2 linked regions of the Stegostoma tigrinum genome follow. The protein of the gene in region 2 interacts with the protein of the main gene of each other region in a biochemical or structural test. Links are inferred from orthologs where the notes say so. Each region holds a gene or a part of one and is shown on either strand. Other genes may lie near its edges.

What was found. The genes of interacting proteins can lie anywhere in the genome.
Region 1: the proteins of pink1 (region 2) and fbxo7 form a complex in vitro, tested with the Homo sapiens proteins (2 studies listed by BioGRID, with this or other methods). The link is inferred for Stegostoma tigrinum from reciprocal best matches to the Homo sapiens genes PINK1 and FBXO7.

Annotation. Positions count from the first base shown.
Region 1 is NC_081371.1:25,457,646-25,468,560, reverse strand, and holds the start of fbxo7 (F-box only protein 7), read left to right. Parts: upstream 1-5,448; 5' UTR 5,449-5,639; intron 5,640-5,790; exon of another isoform or gene 5,791-5,898; intron 5,899-8,756; 5' UTR 8,757-8,817; coding exon 8,818-8,939; intron 8,940-10,915. UniProt on the Homo sapiens protein: Substrate recognition component of a SCF (SKP1-CUL1-F-box protein) E3 ubiquitin-protein ligase complex which mediates the ubiquitination and subsequent proteasomal degradation of target proteins and plays a role in several biological processes such as cell cycle, cell proliferation, or maintenance of chromosome stability.
Region 2 is NC_081381.1:30,927,988-30,939,397, forward strand, and holds the start of pink1 (serine/threonine-protein kinase PINK1, mitochondrial), read left to right. Parts: upstream 1-6,940; 5' UTR 6,941-7,277; coding exon 7,278-7,604; exon of another isoform or gene 7,605-7,831; intron 7,832-9,181; exon of another isoform or gene 9,182-9,308; coding exon of another isoform or gene 9,309-9,314; intron 9,315-9,432; coding exon 9,433-9,924; intron 9,925-11,410. UniProt on the Homo sapiens protein: Serine/threonine-protein kinase which acts as a sensor of mitochondrial damage and protects against mitochondrial dysfunction during cellular stress.

The DNA.
Region 1 (10,915 bases), on a different chromosome or scaffold from region 2:
GGAGACAGAGAGTTGTAGTGGAAGGGAGTTTCTCAAAATGGAAACTGTGACCAGTGGTGTTCCACAGGGATCCGTATTGGGACCACTGTCATTTGTGCTATAGATAAATGATCTGGAGAAAGGAATAGATGGTCTGATTAGCAAGATTGGTGGCGTAGCAGATCATTTATCTATAGCACAAATGACAGTGGTCCCAATACGGATCCCTGTGGAACACCACTGGTCACAGTTTCCATTTTGAGAAACTCCCTTCCACTACAACTCTCTGTCTCCTGTTGCCCAGCCAGTTCTCTATCCATCTATCTTGACCCCAAGCGACTTCACTTTCTCTATAAACCGACCATGGGGAACCTTATCAAACGCTTTACTGAAGTCCATATATATATGACATCTTCAGCTCTTCCCTCATCTATCAACTTTGTCACTTCCTCAATGAAGGAATAAATAGACAATAAATAAATGTTAATTTTGAATTCAAATTAATAACATCAATAACACTTTGGTCTCTGGATTATAGGAGGTCAAGCGACTGAGATATGTTGAGATTAAATCCTGTGGAAGCACTGGCATGCTGTCCTATGTGGCAATTGCTCAAGAATTGTTAACTTCCATCATTCACCCACTCCACAGTACCTTCCACTGTTGTCTCTGACACTGACTCAGATCCTCCGACACTTCCGCCATTTACAATCCGACCCCACCACCCGAGACATTTTTCCATCCCCACCCCTGTCTGCTTTCCGGAGAGACCACTCTCTCCGTGACTCCCTTGTTCGCTCCACACTGCCCTCCAACCCCACCACACCCGGCACCTTCCCCTGCAACCGCAGGAAATGCTACACTTGCCCCCACACCTCCTCCCTCACCCCTATCCCAGGCCCCAAGATGACATTCCACATTAAGCAGAGGTTCACCTGCACATCTGCCAATGTGGTATACTGCATCCACTGTACCCGGTGCGGCTTCCTCTACATTGGGGAAACCAAGCGGAGGCTTGGGGACCGCTTTGCAGAACACCTCCGCTCAGTTCGCAACAAACAACTGCACCTCCCAGTCGCAAACCATTTCCACTCCCCCTCCCATTCTCTAGATGACATGTCCATCATGGGCCTCCTGCACTGCCACAATGATGCCACCTGAAGGTTGCAGGAACAGCAACTCATATTCCGCCTGGGAACCCTGCAGCCGTATGGTATCAATGTGGACTTCACCAGTTTCAAAATCTCCCCTCCCCCCACTGCACCACACAACCAGCCCAGCTCTTCCCCCCCACCCACTGCATCCCAAAACCAGTCCAACCTGTCTCTGCCTCCCTAACCGGTTCTTCCTCTCACCCATCCCTTCCTCCCACCCCAAGCCGCACCCCCAGCTACCTACTAACCTCATCCCACCTCCTTGACTTGTCCGTCTTCCCTGGACTGACCTATCCCCTCCCTACCTCCCCACCTATACTCTCTCCACCTATCTTCTTTACTCTCCATCTTTGGTCCGCCTCCCCCTCTCTCCCTATTTATTCCAGTTCCCTCTCCCCAACCCCCTCTCTGATGAAGGGTCTAGGCCCGAAACGTCAGCTTTTGTGCTCCTGAGATGCTGCTTGGCCTGCTGTGTTCATCCAGCCTCACATTTTATTATCTTATGACCCCAGCTGATGTGATTACTGAACAAATTAGATTCCAGACTGAAATTTGGCTTGCTAGGACATATTTTATTTTTGAATTAAACAAGGTGGTCTTTCACAGAAATGTAAACACCCAATGCTGCAGATTTGTTTTTTGCAATAAAACAGAAGTTTATTATGTAAAATAAATGAAGGTAAATAGATAAATAAAAGCATTTACACATAACACAAGTTTAAAGATATTGAAACACATGGTTAAATATAATCCCAGTAATCCCTACAACACTCTTTACAGGACACACACCAGAGAGAGATGTGGAGGTGGCGGAACACAGCAGGCCAGGCAGCATCAGAGAAGCAGGAAAGCTGACGTTTTGGGTCTGGACCTTCTTCAGAAATGGGGGAGAGGAAAGGGCTCTGAAATAAATAGACTGGGGGGTGCGGTGATAGAAGCTGGATAGTGGAGTGGACAGGTGGGAGAGAAGACGGAGAGGTCAAGGAGGCGAGGATGAAGCTAGTAAAGGTGAGTGTAGGTAGGAAGTGGGGATGAGGGTTGGTCAGTGAGGAGGAAGAAGCAGATAACTGGGAAAGAAGACGGACAGATCGGGGAGGCGGGGATGGGGGCAGGCTGGTTTTGGGATGAGGTCGGGGGTGGGGAGATTTTGACGCTAGTAAAGTCCGCATTGAGACCATTGGGTTGTAGGCTTCCAAGGCAGAATATGAGGTGCTGTTCCTTCAGTTTCTGGGTGGCATTGTTGTGACACTGGAGGAGGCTCAGGATGGACATATTGCCATGGAGTGGGAGGGGAAGTTGAAGTGGTTCGCAACGGGGAGGTGTTGTCATTTGTTGCAAACCGAGCATAGGTGCTCCACAGCGCGGTCTCTGAGACTCCGCTTGGTCTCCCCAATGTAGAGAAGGCCACCTCGGGAACAGCGGATAAAATAGACCGCATTAGTGGATGTGCAGGTGAACATCTGTTTAATGTGGAAGGTTGTTTTGGGGCATAGGATGAGGGTGAGGTTCAGGGGCAGGAGTAGCACTTCCTGCGGTTGCAGGGAAAGGTGCCAGGTTGGTGGGGCTAGTGGGGAATGTGGAGTGGATGCGGGAGTCGTGAGGAGAGCGGTCCCTCCAGAAGGCAGATAAGGGTGGGGAGGGAAATATATTCTTTGTAGTGGGGTCAGATTGCAGGTGACGGAAGTGGCAGAGAATGATGTATTGAATCTTGATGGTTAATGGGGTGATGCATGAGGACAAGGGGAATTCTGTCTTTGTTTTTGTTGCAGGGAGGGGATGTGAGGGCTGAGGTCTGGGCAATGTGAGAGGTGCAGTGGAGGGCATTTTCGACCACCCCTTGGGGGGGTGGGAGGAATTGTGGTCATTGAAAAACAAGGATAGCTGGGATGTCCAAAACATCAGCTTTCCTGCTCCTCTGATGCTGCCTGGCCTGCTGTGTTTCTCCAGCTCCATTCCTTGTTATCTCAGACTCCTACATTGGCAGTTCGTACTATCTCACCAGGGAGAGAATTTCTTCCTCTAAAACACAATCACACATAGATTTGATTTAACAGATGCTTCTATTCCTGGTCTTGAGCATCTGATAGCCTCTTCCCTGAGATTTCATATAACTGAATGTAAACTTTCTCAGCTTCGAATACCCCTTCATGTTTTAAACAAAAACTTCTTGTCTTGGACTTTAAAACTCTCCTCTTTACACAGAGGTAATTTATTTCATGACGGAACTGAAGTATCTTTTTTCCAAGTAATGGTTTCACACATTCAGCTTCAGCCAATGCTTTGTAAAAGCTACCCAACTGAAATTCAAAGGTTTTTTTTTTAACAGACTATGGGTGCTTCCTCATTCAAAAGGAAAAATATCAATTTCTGACTTTTTAAACTGAAAGCCCAATACACAACTGTTTTACTTTGTTCACTTGTAAAAACTCTCCCAATAACGAATAATTTCAACTACTCTCCAAGAATTATCTTTCTCAGGTTATGCTTTAAAAGAAACAACAGTTACTACAGAGTTAATCATGAAAAAGTTCTGAAGAAGAATCATATCAGATTTGAAACACTAACTCTGTTTCTCTCTCCACAGATAGTGCCAGACCTTTCTCCAATATATTCTGTTTTTATTTCAGGTTTCCAGCATCTGTGGTATTTTGCTTTTGTATTAATCCTTAAAATCCTGAGGCATATAAATCAGAACCCACATACTATAAATTCAACTTTATTTAAATAAATATATATCACACACCTTACACTTGGAGTTTTGAAGAAAGATAGGTGACTTATTGAAACATTCATCATGCTTGGGGAATTGACAGGATAGATGCAGAAACGTTGCTTCCACTTGTGGGAGAGTCTAGGACCACAGGGCATTATTTCAGAATAAAGGGTCATCCATTTAAGACAGAGATGAGGAGGAATTTCTCCTCTTAAAGCGTAGTGAATCTGTGGAATTATTCGCTGAATTGGGCTGTAAAGGCTAAATTATTAAATATATTCAAGACTAGAGAATCAGGAGTTATCAGAAAAAAGCAGGAAGGTGATGATTTGAATGGCAGAGCAGACCCAGTGGGCTGACTGACTTACCTTGATTCCTAAGCCTTGCGATCTTATCACACTGGGAAAACTAATGGAACTAAAGGCTAACAAGGCATGTTATAATCTTTTAAAGTTCCCTAGATTCTGGAAGGTCCTATGGAATAGAGAATGTAACACTTGTGTTCAAGAAAGGAGGGAGAGCAGAAGTACAAAACTTTAAACTAATTCAGCTAAACATCTATCATTGAAAAAATGCTAGAATCCATTGTTAATAAGGTGCAGAATATTTAGAAAATCATAATACAATCAGGCAGTGTTAACGTAGCTTTACAAAAGGGAAATGGTTTGATAAATTTATTAGAGTTCTTAAAGAAGAGTATGCAGGCTGGATAAAAGAAATCAATAAATGTAGTTGACTTGGATTTTGAAAAAGACATTTACTTAGGTGCAATTTAAATGGTTAGAGTTTTAGCCAAGGGCTTATGGTGTTTGGGGCAGCATGCTCACACTTTTTTTCTTCTGTGCTGACTTCTGAAGTCCATGTGCGACAGGAACTTCTGGAACCAGAAATCAATGCCGTGAAATGTGTTGGCATTCCAATTGCTGTGCACAGACTCTCAAAGGATATTTCTGATTTGTTTCTGATTTCCAGTTTCCACCGTTTTCATTTTCTTTTTGTTGGGATTCATTGATAATTTTCAATTTAGCAAACAAGTGAAATGTCTAGGGATCAGTGTTAGGGCTTCAATTATTTATGACCTAAACCTGTGACTTGGGTAAGGGACTAACTGTACCATTGCCAAATTTGCTTATGATATCATGAATGTAGGCAGGAGAAAAAATTGTGAGGAGCTTACAGAGTTTGCAATTGGATAAGTTAGTAGGTTGAGTCAGAAGACTGTTTTCTGTCAGAAGGTCATTCGTCTTTGTAAATCTCTTCCGCAAACAGCAGCGTAGGCTGAAAGAAAGACAAAATTTGCTGGAGAAACTCAGCGGGTCCAGCAGCATCTGCGGAGAGAAAAGAGAGTTAATGTTTCGAGTCTAGTGACCCTTCTTCAGAAAAGCGGAGCCTGAATCGTTAAATGTATGCAAGGCACAAATCATGCACAATATGCTTTAAAAATGTGAGTGGTGAGAAGTGATCGACATTAGAGCAGCAAACCTCCAAAACTTTCCCGTCTGTACATTGACTACAGCTCCATCCTCACAGTGAGGGTTGTGAGCATGCGCTGGATTGGTGACTATCGGGAGCAGGCGCAGTCCATGGTGCTTATAGTCCCTCCCCCGGCCCGCAGGCAGTGGGATGGGGTGGGGCTAACGCTGCTGTCAGTTTGCGGGGTGGGCTGTAATAATCACCATAGTGACCGGCAGCAGACTGCGGCTGGTACATCCATCCCAGCGGAGTCGGAGCCTGAGCGTAGGCCTGGGTGGAGCGGAGTAGACCAGACCGCTGCCTTACCCTCCCTGTAATCTGTAAGTATCGTCTGGAGCTCGGTCAGGTGCAGAACTAGGCCACAGGAACAGCCTGTCGCATCCAGTCTGTTAATGTTGCTTCCTTTCTGCCCCCGCGGTTCAGGGCTGTCAGGTTGTGCGGGGAATGCAGTTTGTGAACGTAAGGGGGTTTTGTGCGTGAGCTGTATGGAACTTAAGAAACGAAAGTGAAATTGTTCATAATCCGTTCCAAGAAATCAGCATGTAGCTAGGTTTTTGTTGTGCAGTGTCATCGACATTGGTAAGCTATTTGACCGTGTAACTTGCGCTAAAATAGACAACATGTATGCTTTCCACCTCAGCGCACTTACTTTAATATTTTAGTGTCTTCTTTTTTTATCAATGTTTGCACTTAATCGTAATCTGAATTTCAATTGCACTTGGAAGTTTTGACTTTGGAAGAACGTATGTTTGTTTTTTTTGCTGAAGCAAGATAAGAGCAGAAGCTTCTTGTACTCATCAGGAAAGATGCAAGAATGCCAACTTTCAGAAATCATAAGTTTATACTGAGAGAACAAGGTTGATTGGCTGAAGCAGTGATGTACAATGCTGTAACAATTTCTCAATGGTGCTTGTGAGAAAATTGGTTATCATAGTACATTCAAAAATAGAGATTATGGTTGTATAACAGTTTATGGGATGATCAGTAACAGCAAATTAAGTACTTTTTGCATGACACTTTTTGGTGTAGGAAGCATGGCAGGCAATTTTCAAATGGCAAGGCCCTGCTATTGACAACATGTGATAATAGCTATATCTTATTTTGTGATTGAAATAGTTGGAACTGCTGATGCTGGAGAATCTGGGATGACAAGGTGTAGAGCTGGATAAACACAGCCAGCCAAGTAGCATCAGAGGAGCAGGAAAGCTGATCATGAAATGTTAGCTTTCCTGCTGCTCTGATGCTGCTTGACCTGCTGTGTTCATCCAGCTCTACACCTTGTTATCTCTTATTTTGTGATGTTGCTCGAGGGATAGATATTGGTCAGTCAATTGTGGATAATTTAATTACTCTTCAAAATAGAACATTGGGCTCTTTCACATTCAGCTTTGAGGGTATTCAGGGCTTGATTTAAGATCTGCCAAGTTACGGAACCTTTGACAATGCAGCTCTTCCTTGGATTTTTGGGACCAGAAATTCCCTGATTATAAGCATGCGAACAACTAAACCATGACTGAGACACCACGATAAAGGGCAGAGGATTTTGTAATCTTCAAGGAAACTTGAAGGAATGAAAGTCTTGCATGCATGTATTACTTTCTTTTATGTTGTCTTCAGAACAGAATACATTTGACCAAAAAAAGGTGTGTGCTAAATCGAAGACCAAAAATCTAAAAGCATGAAATTGCAGGATTTTGCTAATTTTATTACTTATGTCCAAGTTGACACAGATTTTGGTGGTAAATTTGATGGTGGTGATAAGTTTAATGATCTTGCTGCTATTTTCTTTGGTCGAAGAAGTCTTTGGGCTGGGAAGATGATGTTGAAGTAAGCTTGGTGAGTTTCTGCAGTGTCCAACAGGCAATAGTATATACTGTTGCCACTAAGTGCCAAGGGAGAGGACTGTTGATTGGCAAGCAGATGGCCTGTTAGATTTCCTGGATGGTTGTTAAGCCTATCCTAGCATGTTGTCAGCGTGAAATTGGGCAGTTAATTTGAACCTCATATGAAGTGAAGAGGCTTTGAGGAGTAATTTGGTGTGATATTTGTCAGAACATAGTATGCCATTACCATTCAAATGTAGCCATGTTGTTACAATGGTTGGTTCTGTTAACTGTCTGTTTCGTGATAATCCCAAGTGATGTTCAATGGCAGTTCAGGAATAGTAGTACTACTGAAGATAAGAAGTGGTTGAAGGTGATGGGCAGTGTCTGACATGTGTCAACTCCAGTCTAGATGTTTGTCCTCATTCTGTGAGACCAGAACTGATTGATTTGTTTGAGTAAATGTAAATGATTTGAACATTGGTAGAATCATTCATAAATGGTCCTATTCCTGATCTTAAGGAGTTGATAATTTTGCATCAGATGAAGATGCTTGGTTTGAGTAATTGTACTTAGAAACTCCAGCAGTGAGGTCCCGAGCAATTAATTTGCCTTAAACTATAATCATCTATATTTGTTAAGTGTGATTCAAGCCTTTGGACGATGTTCTTTATGACTTGTAAGCTTTTAAAAATGCATCTTCCTGTGTTTTCTCAAGTGATAGTGAACATTTTAAAGCACAGTTAGGAAAAATGTTTTAAAATTCAAAGCTTCTACAGGAAGAAGAACATGGAATATCTCCTGGATCACCTTTGGCAAATTTTGAGGCTGTTAATTCCTCAAAGCAAATGTACTGACTTTTTGTAGTTTGGATCACTTGTAAAAATTGTTAATATTTAGCTCCTTTTTGAAGTAAGATTAGCAACGGTAACTGCTGATGAAAGCAATGAAACAGTATCCTAATAAAAGAATGTCTTTAAGCTGTTACAATGACTGCCTATATATCTGTTCATATAGGGAAATGAAGAGCCAAAAGCACTTTCAAAGGAGGCAGGGAGTTCTCTTGTTGATCTAGCTAGTTAAACAATCTGATCAGCTGGTCACTTTCCTTGTTGTTGATTGTGGGACCTAGGTGCATACTTTACTTCAGAAAAGAACTAGGGTGTCTTTAGGATACAATTCAAACTTTTCACGAGATGTTAGAATGAAAGAAGTAAAATAACATGGTTTCTTTTAATTTGTTACAGACTATAATTTTTCTACGAAGTGTGACTGAATGCTTAAGGCATAAATTGTTCGCACTTTCTAATGACTCTGATCTTAATTAACATATTAAGAATTATATATTCTCTATTATGGCATGTTCCAGCCTGTTTAGAACTCCCCTTTTGGCTGAAAGGTAAAAGAAAGGAAACTAACTGTCTGTTCTTTGTTCTTTTCCTCCTTTCACGCTTAGAGTCCTTCCATTTAGTACTTTTTCATGATGACATTGGTGTTTGGATGTGTATGTTATCAAAGCTATCTCATATTGTCAAAAAACCTACGTTTCAGTTAAATATGATGCAGTTTTTTTTAAGAACGATACTGTAATTTTAATCTCCCTCTTATGTCTAGTGCCCCTTGCACCTGCAGAAATTCCAACAGCAGTTGACAGCTTCATGTTGAATCAGCTGCAATGAAGCTGCGTGTGCGAGTTCAAAGACAGAGAGGTTGGGTGGAATTGGAGCAGGATGAGCCCACTCTTGCTGACCTGCGCAGTAAGATTGCTAACTGTCTTTTACCATCTATGGGATACAGGCAAGTGAAGCAGAATCACATTGCTGTTTCTATGATTAAATATATTAAGTCTGCTGTTAATATGGTTTGATATGGAATATGTCTTGATTTTCATGTGGCCAAATGGATTATTTTACCAATTGAGAAGCTTTTATGATGCTCAACTAACAAATTATTGACTTTGATAATTTTAGAACATTGAGGTTTAGTGGAAATCATAACTGATACCTTGTAATTCCTATCGAAAATTATAAGTATGTGCAGCCTATGAGAATGTTTAGACTGTTGCTCAAGTGGGATGTGAATTTCTATTGTTACTATGGTGTTAAGTTTTTTTTCCCTGCCGGTGGGTGTCAAGGTAGCAAGTAATGCTATGAGAATTTGTTGCAGGACCTGACAACACCTTGCTAATTTCATTTATCTATTTATGTTGGATCACTCAAAATTGTAATTTAAGAGCTTCAGTGACTTAGATGTGAATTCATTATAAATAAATAGTTGCAGCATTTGCAGCACAAGAACAGGCTATTTATTGAAAAAAAATCAGTGCTTTTTCTTTCCAGCTTTAAAAAGAAGATTCTATTTAATTACCATTTGTTTGAAGAAATAACGCAAAGTTTAGACAAGGGAATAAAGTTTAATGTTTTAGTGAAGATCTGTAGCTCGGGTTGTGGCTGGAGTTATTCGGTGGTTCGCTGAGCTGACTTGGTTTCACCTCCTTCCAGGTGACATCTTCACTGTTGTCTAGCCTTCGTTGAAATGCTGTTGTTCTCTTCTGCTCTGAATTTATATGGTCTGGTCTGTCATGGTGGGTAGCCCTGTTTTTTTTTGTACCCTAGTGGTATGTAAATAGGGTGTGTTTCAACATGTTTGTTTATTGCACTGGTGGTTGAAAACCAGGTCTCCAAAAATTCTTGTGCTTGTCATAGTCTTGCTTGTCCTTGCACTGTAACTTTGTCCCTGTTCAACTGATGTCCTTCTGTGCAGAGTGTATTGAAATGAGGGAGAGTTGGTCGTGCTGTTTCGCATGAGTTGGTGTTCACATTTCCTGGTCTGTCCTATGTCGTTTTTCACTCAGCTGCTGCTTGGTAACGTGTGTGTGTGTGTGTGTGTGTGTGTGTGTGTGTATATATTTGTGTACTACTGACGATTGTAAAGGATCCCATACCCAAAATGAGCAAAACTAGGGTAATATACAAAATACCAATCAAGCATTGTGAGAAACACTACAGAGGCTAAATCGGAAGAAAATTGACAATACAGATACATAGCCACCAAGAGACATGACCAGTTCTCACTTGCCTCACTACACAGACAATGAGGGACATGAATTTGACTGGGATAAGTCAAATAGAGTTACGCCAGTGAATTCCTGGAGACCTGGTATTCTAACCGGAACTCCATAACAAACACATTAAATTAGACCCTGCGTACAAACCACTGAGAAACAAAACCGGAAGTAATACCAACCACCCCAGTGAATACAGATTATATAAATGATAAGCAGGACAGAACACCATAGCTTCACTGGAGGTGCACTGACGATATTACCCAGCAGGGTAACAAAAAAGTCTGCAACCAAACCCCTCAGCTCAATGAGCAAGTCTACAACCCGAGCTATAAATCCTCTCAAATTTTATAGAAGGATATCAGTTTAACTGGGACAAGAAAACCAAAGACGAGCACGAGAATTTCTGGAGGTCTGGCTTTCAGCCGCTGGTGCGATAAGCAAACATGTTGAAATAGACCCCATCTACGTACCACTACACTCCAAAACCAGAAACAGGACTACCCACCATGAAAGACTGGACCATATAAATTTGTAGCGGGACAGACCAACAGCACTTCAGTGGAGGCTAGACAGCACTGAAGATGTCACATAGAAGGGAGACAACATGTTTGCAGGAAAACCTGTCAGCTCAGCGAACCAACCAACAATTCCAGGGTAATAAATTACGTGTAATGTATGTGCAGGTTAGCAGGTCTTTGATAAGATG
Region 2 (11,410 bases):
CCTCTATCCATCTTCGGTCCGCCTCCCCCTCTCTCCCTATTTATTTCAGAACCCTCTCCCCATCTCCCGCTCTGATGAAGGGTCTAGGCCCGAAAGGGTCAGCTTTTGTGCTCCTGAGATGCTGCTTGGCCTGCTGTGTTCATCCAGCTACATACTTTGATATCTTATATCCATTTTATCAGGTTTGGCCACTTTTTTTCCCCAACTGGTGGTAACATTTTATGCCTCCTAGCCACTGTGCATGTAAAAGATCTTCTGACATTATTTTAAGAAAAACAGGGAAGATATCCCTCTTCAACATTGCATTCAATTATTTTAAATCATTGTCTCCAATGTATTTATTGTTTTCTCTAGAACTTGTTTAGAAATTAGGAGTTTCCCATTTAAACCACAGATGAAAACTGAAAGAACTGTGGAAGTTGTAAACCAGGAACAAAAACAGAAGTTGCTGGGAAAGCTCAGCAGGTCTGGCAGCATCTGTGAAGGAAAAAAAAAAATCAGTTAACATTTCAGGTCCGGTGACCCTTCCTCAGAACATTTAAGCCACAGATGAAATCATCTTTCATTACCTCTCTCAGAGGGTCACAAGACTTTAGAACTCTTTTTCTAAAAAAGTTCATGGAAGCAAAGTCCATGAATATTTTTAAGGCTCAGGCAGATAGATTCTAGTTAAGCCAAAGGGTTGAAAGGTTATTGGGGTAAGTTGGAATACAGATTTAAAGTTATAGATCAACCATTTGATCAGCAGACAGGTTTGAAGTGCTAAATGGCCTACTTCTGCTTTCTGTTAGTATGTTCACTTTGCAGTCATACGCATGCTGTTCAGTCAGTACACTTTATCTGGTCACATCTTTAGTTTCTTAATCTCTCTAGGTTGGATATACATTTATTTGGGGGATATGGATATCACTAGCAGAGAAGCGTCTGTTACTCATCTCTGACTGCCTTGCAAAAGTGATAGTAAATTGCCTCAGAGTTGTAGAAAAAGTTCAAAGTGGAAACACACCCTACAGTCCAACTTGTCTATGCCGACTAGATATCCTAAATTAATCTAGTCCCATTTGCCAGCATTTGGCCCATAATCCTCTTCCTATTCATGTACTCTTTTAAATGTCAATTGTACCGGCCTTCGCCACTTCCTCTGGCAACTCATTTCACACGTGCCCCACCTCCTGCATGTAAAGGTTGCCCCTTAGGTCCCTTTTGAATCTTTCCACTCTCACATTAAACCGAAGCCCTCCAGTTTTGGATTCCCCTACCTTGGGGAAAAGACCTTGACTATTCACCCTATCACTGCGCCTCATGATTTTATAAACCTCTATCAGGTCACCCCTTAGCCTCTGGCACTCTGGGGAAAATAGCCCCAGCCTATTTAGCCTTTCCTCATAGCTTAAACCATCTAACTCTGGCAACATGCTTGTAAATCTTCTCTGAACCCTTTCAATTTTCGCAACATCCTGCTATGGCAGAGAGGTCAGAACTGAATGCAGTATTCCAAAAGTGGCCTAACCAATGTCCTGAACAGCCGCAAAATGACCCAACTCCTATACTCAATGCATTGATCAATAAAGGCAAGCATACCAATCACCTTCTTCGCTACCTTGTCTACTTGCAACTCCAATTTCAAAGAACCGTGAAGCTGCACTCCAAAGTCTCTTTGTTCAGTAACATTCCCCAGGACCTTGCCATTAAGTGTATAAGTCCTGCCATGATTTGCCCTATTAAAATGTAGCACCTCACATTCATCTAGATTAAACTGTCTACCACTCCTCAGCCCATCTGATCAGGATCCTGTTGTACTCTGAAGTAATCATCTTCGCTGTTCACTACACCACCAATTTTGCAGATGATACCAAACTTACTAACCATCCCTCCTTTGTTCACATCCAAATCATTTACATCAATGATTAAAAAGCAGTGGACTCAGAACTGATCTTTGCAGCACACTGCTGGTCACATGCCTTCAGTCTGAAAAGCAACACTCCACCACTACTGAAAGAACCGTGGATGCTGTAAATCAGGAACAAAACAAAGTTGCTGCAAAAACTCAGCAGGTCTGGCAGCATCTGTGAAGGAAAAAACATAGTTAATATTTCACGTCCAGGAGGAATGGTTACCAGACCCGAAATGTTAACTCAGTTTTTTTTCCTTCGCAGATGCTGCCAGACCTGCTGAGCTTTTCCAGCAACTTTGTTTTTGTTCATCCATCACTACTCTGTCTCCCAGCTTTCTGCCAATTTTCTATCCAATTCTGTAGCCTTCTTGAACTGCTGTAGTCCTTGGGTGTACTTACCATCCATTTCTTTTTTCCATGACACCTTTTGCCATTTAATTTTTCTTGTCCTCCTCAAGACCTTTCACTTGCTCAAAATTTATTATTTTTTCTATCTTTCCTCAAGTTTTGTTGAAAGAACATGAGCCTGATCGTTAAATGTTTTTCTCTCCATGGATGCTGTCTAACCTGCTGAATAGTTTAACCATTTTCTGTTTGTATTTAGAAGTTGAGTCTTTTGTTTGTATCTTTAAGATAGCTTTAAGCATATGTTCAACATTCACCTGTTTTGCAGATGTTTGCAGCATGAATACATGAAAGCCTACAGGACAGAGTTCATATAATAAAATGAAAATCTCAGGGCATACAACCAGATATTCAAATTTTGCGTTGGAATGCCCATTATTCTGAAATCAATGAATAATATTGGTTTTCAAAGCCAGGAGATGGGGTTTAGGAGAACATAAAGCTCAAATGCATGCACAGTACCCAAAAGACAAAGTAAAGTTTTACTTCTCCCATGCCACTGCAAATAGATTTGAATTACTTTGCATTCAATTTTTGAGAGTGCTCTGCATCTGTCCTTAATCATGGTAAAAACTGACTTACATATTGGGATCTCAAAATTAGATCCCCTTTGATTGTACATTCAAGCTTAATTCAGAGCTTGAGCTGGTGATGTGATTCCAGTGCAGTAGTATACAGGAGTAGGAAGAGCAGGAATTCCATTGTGCAGAGAGAAAAATAATTGAACAGGAGAGAGGTAAGATGTAGTGCAAAGGGTTATTTCTAACACTAACTATTGAACATATACAGAGGAAGCTACTTATTGATAATGTTATGATCACATAAGCTTCTGAAGAAGGAGCAACAACCCAGGTTGCGTGCTTTGCTAGAATGTATGTATTTAACATAATGTAAATAAAGAACTACTTTGAAAAAGTTGGTCTCTAGCTATATCCTTTGCACTGAGTAGTGCACTGTAAAACCTTCCAAGACACCGCCCAAAAACAAAACATGCTAAAGGAAAGTGTTGTTTGCAGACAAATTAGATAGATTCTATCACCTGTCCAGGTGATTTAAGTGGATACGAAAGCACATAAATGAAAGAATAAGTAAGTTCTTCAGGTGTCCTGTACAAAATCCTCCTGTGAGTGATGTGACCAAAAACAAGATAACTGGTTATTCATCTCATTTGCTCTGTGTGGGACTTTGCTAAGTCAATACTTTGAAATCGGATTCATACATTTAAACTGATTTGGGCATTTCCGAAAGATATGACAAATGGCTACAGACGTCCTAATTCTCCTGGGAAAGGGGGATGGGAAACCTCAAAAGTAAGCCAGGAGATCAACAGACCAGAGGACAAGGAAAGGAACAGAAGAGTAAAAAGCCCAGACAGGGGTGAATGGGAGACCAAGATCACAAAGGTGAAGCTGGAAACTAGAAGTTTGAAAGCAGGGCTCACTAAAGCCAAGATCAGAAAGAAATGGGAAATAGGGGGACCATGCCAAAAAAGGCAAGTGTATTCTCAAAATAAGCTAGTGAAATCCACTACAATACCTCGTATGTAGGGTAATTTATTTTTAACACCTGAATGATGACCTATGTTTCTCACGGTACATATTTGCCTTTCATTTTGGAAATTTGCAGTGCAGCACTGGTGTTTATGTTTAGTGCAGTAATGGTAATGCCACTGGGCTGGTAATCATCACTCAGGTTAATCCTCTGAGGTTCAAAACCGACCATGGCAGCTGATGAAATTTTAATTCAGTGAATAAATCTGGATTATAAAGCCAGTTTGAGTATTGGTAACCATGACAATTTGTTATAAAAACCCATCTCGTTCACAATTGTCCATTTGGGAATTAAATCTGCTACCTTTAACTGGAATGGCCTACATTTGACTCCAGACATACAGACAAGTAATTGACTCTTAACTGCCCTCTGAAACGGCCGAGCAAGCCACAGTTCAACAGTAATTAGAGATGGGCAGCAATTGCTGGCCTTGCCAGAAACACCCACAATAGAAGAAAAAAAAACAGGAGGGTTACCTCAAAATTGATAATAAAGACTTGCAATTCTATAGCACATTCATGACCTCAGGATGAATTAAAATGCTTTATGGCCACTAAGTACTTTTTGAAGTTTAGTCACTATTGTAATGTAGAGAAAGCAACAGTTAATTTGCACACAGCAAGCTCCCACAAATAGCAATGTAATAACGATCTGATATCTAAACTTATGTACTTGCATCCTGGAATGAGACTGAAATTCATAACCTTCTGTCTTGGGAGATAAGGGTACTATCAACTGACCTACAGCTGATACAAGATTTTTCTTTATTACGAAACTAGCTGACAGGAGATATTTAGGTTGTTTACCAAAACCTCCTCTTCCCATTCCATGTGCCTACCATTGTTTAAATGTCTCTATGCTTAAAGATACTGATGACATTGGTTATGCTGTTAATTTAAGAGGTTTGTTTGAGTGAAGTAAATGCAGAGGAGTAGTACCTTTCATTTCTACATACAGAGCAAATGGATATCCGCACTTTGAGGTGGAGATAGTGAAGGGAAGATGGGCATTAATAAAGGGTAGTGGGAGTGAATAAAGAGCAGGGGAGAGAGATAATGAAGGGGATAACGGTGGTAGTACTTGGATGGCAATGAATAAGTGATAAATGTGGAGAGAGGTAGGATGGTAACAACTAAGAAGGGGAGGGGTTGGGTTGAGCAATAAATAAGAAGGAAATGTTGAATGTGGGGAAGAAATAGGCTTTTTGAGAGTCCTGTGTATGAATAGATGTAGCTTTTAGCAAAACAAAATAAAACCCTGCAGATATTGTGCCTTTTTCAACAAACCAAAAAGGTTGGGGGGAGGGAACAACATTTCTCTAGGGGAATTCTCCATGTAAACACCTCAGTCAGCGTCTACTTGCCAAACAATCAGTATCCTTTTTCCATGCATAGAGTCATTGAGTCATACAGCACAGAAATGGACCCCTCAGTCCAACCAGTCCATGCGAAATGTAATCCCAAACTAAACTGGCCCCACCTGCCTGGTCCTGGTCCATATCCCTCCAAACATTTCCTATTCATGTACTTATCCAAATGTCTATTAAATGTTGTTATTATACCAACAACCACCATTTCCTCAGGAAATTCATTCAACACGTGAACTACCCTCTTTGTAAAATAAAAAATTGCCCCTCATGGCTTTTTAAAATCTCTCTCCTCCCATCTTAAAAACGTGCCCTCTAGTTTTGAAATACCCCATCCCAGGTAAAAGAAAATTGCAATTAACTCTAATCTATACCCCCCCCCCCCCATGTAGTATAAATTGTTGCTCCGTTTGAAATTTGATATTCTTGTAATTGTCATGATGACTGCAGGACAAAACATTTCAACAGCGTAACAAAGTGTGGAGCTGGATAAACACAGCAAGCCAAGCAGCATCTGCAGTTCCCATTATCTCTAATTTCAACAGCATGTTTCCTTTTGCAGTAATAAAGTTGTTACCCTGGTCCCAAAGGACGTAGGGCTGCTCGCTCATTAAACAGAGACGACCAGCGGTAGTTTAACCTGAGGGTCACCTCGCCTCAGGCAAGGGGTGAGCTCAAGAAGATGGGACCTTCATAGTGACCTCATGCAGTACTTGAATTCAATTCACATGTTGGTATCGCAATCCAGCCAGCCAAGTAAGCTACTCGACTCCCCACAGAGCAAAGTCGCCATAGTCCCAAAGACCACAGTACTGCTTTCTCAAGAGAGAGATGATCGGTGATGGCTTACCCTGTGAGTCACCTTGCAAGGGGAAGAGGTTGAGAAGGACAGACCTTCATGGTAACCTCAGCTAGTATGACAACTGAACCCATCCTGCTGGTGTTACAATCATACTCAGATTCTGTTCCGCCAAGTGACTATATAAATCTGAGTTGTTGTAACCAGAATTTTCAACTGTAAAATGTGAACTTAAAATTTTCCATGAGGGTATGAACCCTAGGAGTTCCCTCCTTAAAGGACTCATAACCAGATCTGTGTTTTTAATGTTTGTGTTCCTCCTTTGAGGCTTGCTGGTACTTGTTTCATTTTCCAAGTCATTAAAAGGTAAAGCTATGAAACAAAATCGTTGAAAGCACTGAGGAGGTTACACAGCATCAGAGTACAGATAAGTGCAGTTAAGCTTCAGGTCAATGATCACTTATCATAATGAGAACAAGATAAGAGGTTTAACAGTTTAGAAGCGAGTACAAAGCCGGATAAAAAGGAGGGTTACGCAAGGAGAGAGACAAGAAGCTGAGTTGTGGAACTGAGCTGAAAACATGGCAGCAAAACATAATGGGGAGCGTTAATAGATTATTAAGAAGCAAAATATGGGTCTAGAGGACGTGCTTAACAATGCTGGGTAGAGACATCAACTTTGTATGGCGAAGTATCTGTAATAGAACGGATATTCTTGAATTGTGGGCTTTTATGGAAATTCTATCATTGTTTTTCAAGCTGTTGGTCATCTTTTCCCAAAATTTCCATCCCATCCAATGTTTTCATCACTGCTATTTTTTACTTTTCGTAGAGGGTGTTCTGTTCACTATTTTTCAAGCTTCGAGGTTGGCCTTTTCTCTCCCAAATTTTGTGTCAGTGCTAATTCCATGTCTTGTGGGCTTGAGATTTTCTGGAAGATATTTTCTCCTAGTTTTCTCTGCTGGCCTTCATGGGAAAGCAACAAAATCGTAAATACCTTGGAAGTGGACCACGCTGTCTCCATGTTATTGTGTTCATTGGTCTTTGAAGGGGCGGATCTGCAGCTGAAAATAAAGCTGGTGTTTGGTTTGTAACTGCCCAGTTCGGAGGCGGTTTATGATGACTGTTGCTATGGTTACCGGGCTTGTTTTGAAGGTGATATTTCCCGGTTGGTAACATTTAACGTTCCCTTTCGTCTCAAACGGTTGCTGTTTATCTTCAACAATGTTGAAAAGATAAATCGGAGGTTTTAAACCTTCAAAATGTCGGTGCGACGACTCCTGGCCCGCGGCCTGGACCTCAGCCGCTCGGCCTTGCGCCTCGTCAATCCCGCAGCTCGAGCTCGGGCTCAGGCGGGCGCGGCCTTTGTGCAACCCTGGGCCCAGCAGCCGCTCCAAGCCGTCCTACCCGCCCGCTACCGCTATTTCCGCCTGTCTTTGGGCGGCCTAGCGGCTCAGCTACAGCGCCGGGCGTCTTGGCAGCTCCGCGGGCCGGGCGGTGCTTTGCTGGCCTTCGGCCTGGGCCTGGGCTTCATCGAACAGCAGGTGGAGGAGGTGAGGACGAGCATCGCTGCCTGCGAGGAGATCCAGGTAAATAAACGTCGGTCCGGGCATCGTTTGAACAAATAGATTAATGCTCCTTGCGATATGCTGCTTTTCCGTCTTGCTGTTGTCTAACAGCCGCCTGACTTTTCGCCGGATAATAAAATGTGGAGGCAGAGACAGGCTGGACTGATGAAGGGTCTAGGCCCGAAACGTCAGCTTTTGTGCTCCTGAGATGCTGCTTGGCCTGCCGTGTTCATCCAGCCTCACATTTTATTATCTTGGAATTCTCCAGCATCTGCAGTTCCCGTTATCTCTGACTTTTCGCCGGCTTCGCTGTAGGTGATAGTGGTGTTGGAAGCTAATTTTCTCAACGTCAATTTTAGGCGAAAGCCCCAAGTTGAATGCTCTCCTTTCTTACCTAAACTTTTATTATGATCTCTGACATGCACCTGATGTAGTTTACCTGATTAAGCTCTCTGTCAGTTTGGACGTCACCAAATTTTGACGGTCAACTTCCATTTAAACTTTGATATGATGGTCTAGGCTCTTTTGGTCCATTTTATTAAATAGATGCTGTGCAATCATATCCCAATAACTACCCAGCAAATTTTTTTAAAATGTCAGAAGAACAAGGAGCAGGGATAGGCAATTCAATCCCTTGACCCTGCTCCACCGTTTGATAGGAACACGGCTGATCTCTTCTTGGTCTCAACTCTACTCTCCTCTGTCCTCTCCATAACCATTTAGCCAATTTACTGTCTATCTCCTGCTTAAATTTACTCAATGTCCCAGCATCCAGCGCATACTGAAATAGTGAATTCCACAGATTCACAACCCTTTGAAAGAAGTAATTTTCCCCTCCTCTCTCTTTAAATCTGCTACCTCTTATCCTCAACCTCTCATCCTAGCCGTGCATAAGACATAAAATTGCCTACAGACTTTGTATGAGCTTTAGCAATAAAAAATGTGTGATTTAGAAATGGACAACACAATATCCTACAGAGAATTTGAGTACTGAAGAACACGAGAAGAAATAGAAAGATTGACACTTTCAAAGTTTGAACCAGGAAGTGTAAGTTTTAATATTGAATTCACTGAGCAATTATGTTCAGAAAGCAAAAGAAAGATGAGATTAAGGAGTGGAGATATGGCAAATAAAAATGTTTAAAAATTTTTTAAAAATCAGTAAAATGTTTCCTAAATTTAATTTTCAAATATGATCTGTCACTATTTAACACTGCCAATTGTAAACATGAACCAATAGGTTAACAGAGGACACACCTTTTGGAGAATTAGAAAACTGAGACAAAATAAGACTTAGTTGAGCAACAAAATGCCCAAATAGCAAAATTTCTGCTACATCAGTGAGCGTTGTTTTGACTTGCTTGATATAATTCGTTTTCTACCACAAGGAAGCTCGTACTAATAACATCTTGGGATATGGGGATAGTATTGGAAAATGGTTTTTGGGTGGATGATCAGTCATAATCTAGAATGGGAGCACAGATTTGAGGGACTCTATGTTCCTAAACATTCAACATTATTATGAAACGTAGGAGTTTACCACAATGTCAGTCTTTCTTTCTTCATAGTCTGACAATGAAGCCGTAGCTTCATAATTTCCTAAGCAAGCCCTGGAGAATTGCACTGTTCGCTAGTGGTGAAGAATTTGGTGGAGTCATATTAATGGCGGATCTCTTCTTGGCAGAGCTTTGTTTTTGTTTTAAAATCAATTCTACTCAAAACTGAATGGAGGTTTGGTTCATTCTTTATAACTACATTTGAAAAAGTTCCAATTTGCATAAATGTGCACTTATTTGCATATATTTGGTTAGTTAATGAGAATAATTGTTGAATTATTTCCATTTGCCAGACATTGTTTAAAAGGAAGAAAATCAAGTATGAAAACTCCATGCCTTCACACACGAGTGGATATCGATTTGAAGATTACAAGATTGGATACAACATTGGAAAGGGGTGTAATGCAGCTGTGTACAAGGCCTTTATCCCTGAAGTACCCAAAACAAAAGCAAGTGACAAGATCACGACAAAGGAGAAAGATGAAGTAGTTAACAGGCAGGTGAAGAGTGAAGGTCAGTGTGTCTCTGGTGAGGATTCTGGAGAAAGAAAGAAGGTAGCGATTACACAGGAAAACTCAAGTTTGAGTTTTGTGATTTTGAAAAAAGAAATGTTAACAGACTCGCTGAGGGCTTGTGAAGGAGACACCAGCAACCCCTTGAGAGTTTCTTGTGGAGGCAGCAGTTACCTCCTGAGGGCCTTCGAGGAAGACACCAACTACCCCCTGAAGGTACCTGAAGGAGAAACCAGCTATCCACTTGCTCTAAAAATGCTTTGGAACATAAATGTAAGTCAAACATTGAAATGCACAATTTGTTGTTTGAGCCAAGTGGAAGATAACCATATGCTGGTGATGTGGCACGAGACTTGCAATTGGAATTTCTTTTGCTTCCAATAATTTGTCTGCAGTGCTTTCAATTTAAAATACTTCTGTCTTTTATTGTAAAAAGGTGCATTCTTTAAATTTACATTTTTTTCCTGTAAAACACAATTGCTTGTCAATGTAATTAATAGCCTTAATAATAAGTGTGTAACATCAGGACGAAATCAAAGCAAAACTAAGAATCGAAATATTTGCCATGGATGAGTGAAGTCCCTACATAGGCCCGAAATAATTGCACATAAGAAAACAAGTGACCATCAGAACTAACCATATCTGATGTGCAGCCTGTGGAGGATTTAAAGTTTGGCAGTGCTATAGTGGTAACACTTCCTAAAATCATTATGGAGTGGATCATTGAGGGGTAAGTGACTGTAGATGGTTGTGAAGATGTATTTAATTGTATTTCTCTCATGTTTAAGCCTCTCCATGCCTTAAAGCATGAAAACCTTTGCAATTTCTTTTGCATCAAAGTGATGCTCAACAGGAGAGGAGTACTGGAGATAAGTTTAGAAATTAGCTTCTTGAATTCATTTGAGTTTTGATCCAGAGGCTCTCTAGCCTAGAAAGCTAGTATTGGCTGTCTTCTGAGCTACCACCATTAAACTGTCAGGTCTAGATTTGAGACATTTCTGTACTACTTGTTGATGTGATTCAGTCACATCAATCAGTTAACATGCTACACGGTTGACCAACACCTTCCACCCCAACCTCAAGTTCACCTGGGCCATCTCCAACACATCCCTCACCTTCCTGGACCTCTCAGTCTCCATCTCCGGCAACCAGCTAGTAACTGATGTCTATTTCAAGCCCACCGACTCCCACAGCTACCTAGAATACACCTCCTCCCACCCACCCTCCTGCAAAAATTCCATCCCCTATTCCCAATTCCTCCGCCTCCGCCGCATCTGCTCCCAGGATGAGGTATTCCACTCCCGCACATCCCAGATGTCCACATTGTTCAAGGACCGCAACTTTCCTCCCCGCAGTGGTCGAGAATGCCCTTGACCGCATATCCCGCATTTCCCGCAACACATCCCTCGCACCCCGCCCCCGCCACAACCGCCCAAAGAGGATCCCCCTTGTTCTCACACACCACCCCACCAACCTCCAGATACAACGCATCATCCTCCGACACTTCCGCCATCCACAATCCGACCTCACTACCCAAGACATTTTTCCATCCCCACCCTTCTCTGCCTTCCAGAGAGACCACTCTCTCCGTGACTCCCTTGTTCGCTCCACACTGCCCTCCAACCCCACCACACCTGGCACCTTCCCCTGCAACCGCAGGAAGTGCTACGCTTGCCCCCACACCTCCTCCCTCACCCCCATCCCAGGCCCCAAGATGACTTTCCGTATTAAGCAGAGGTTCACCTGCACATCTGCAAAT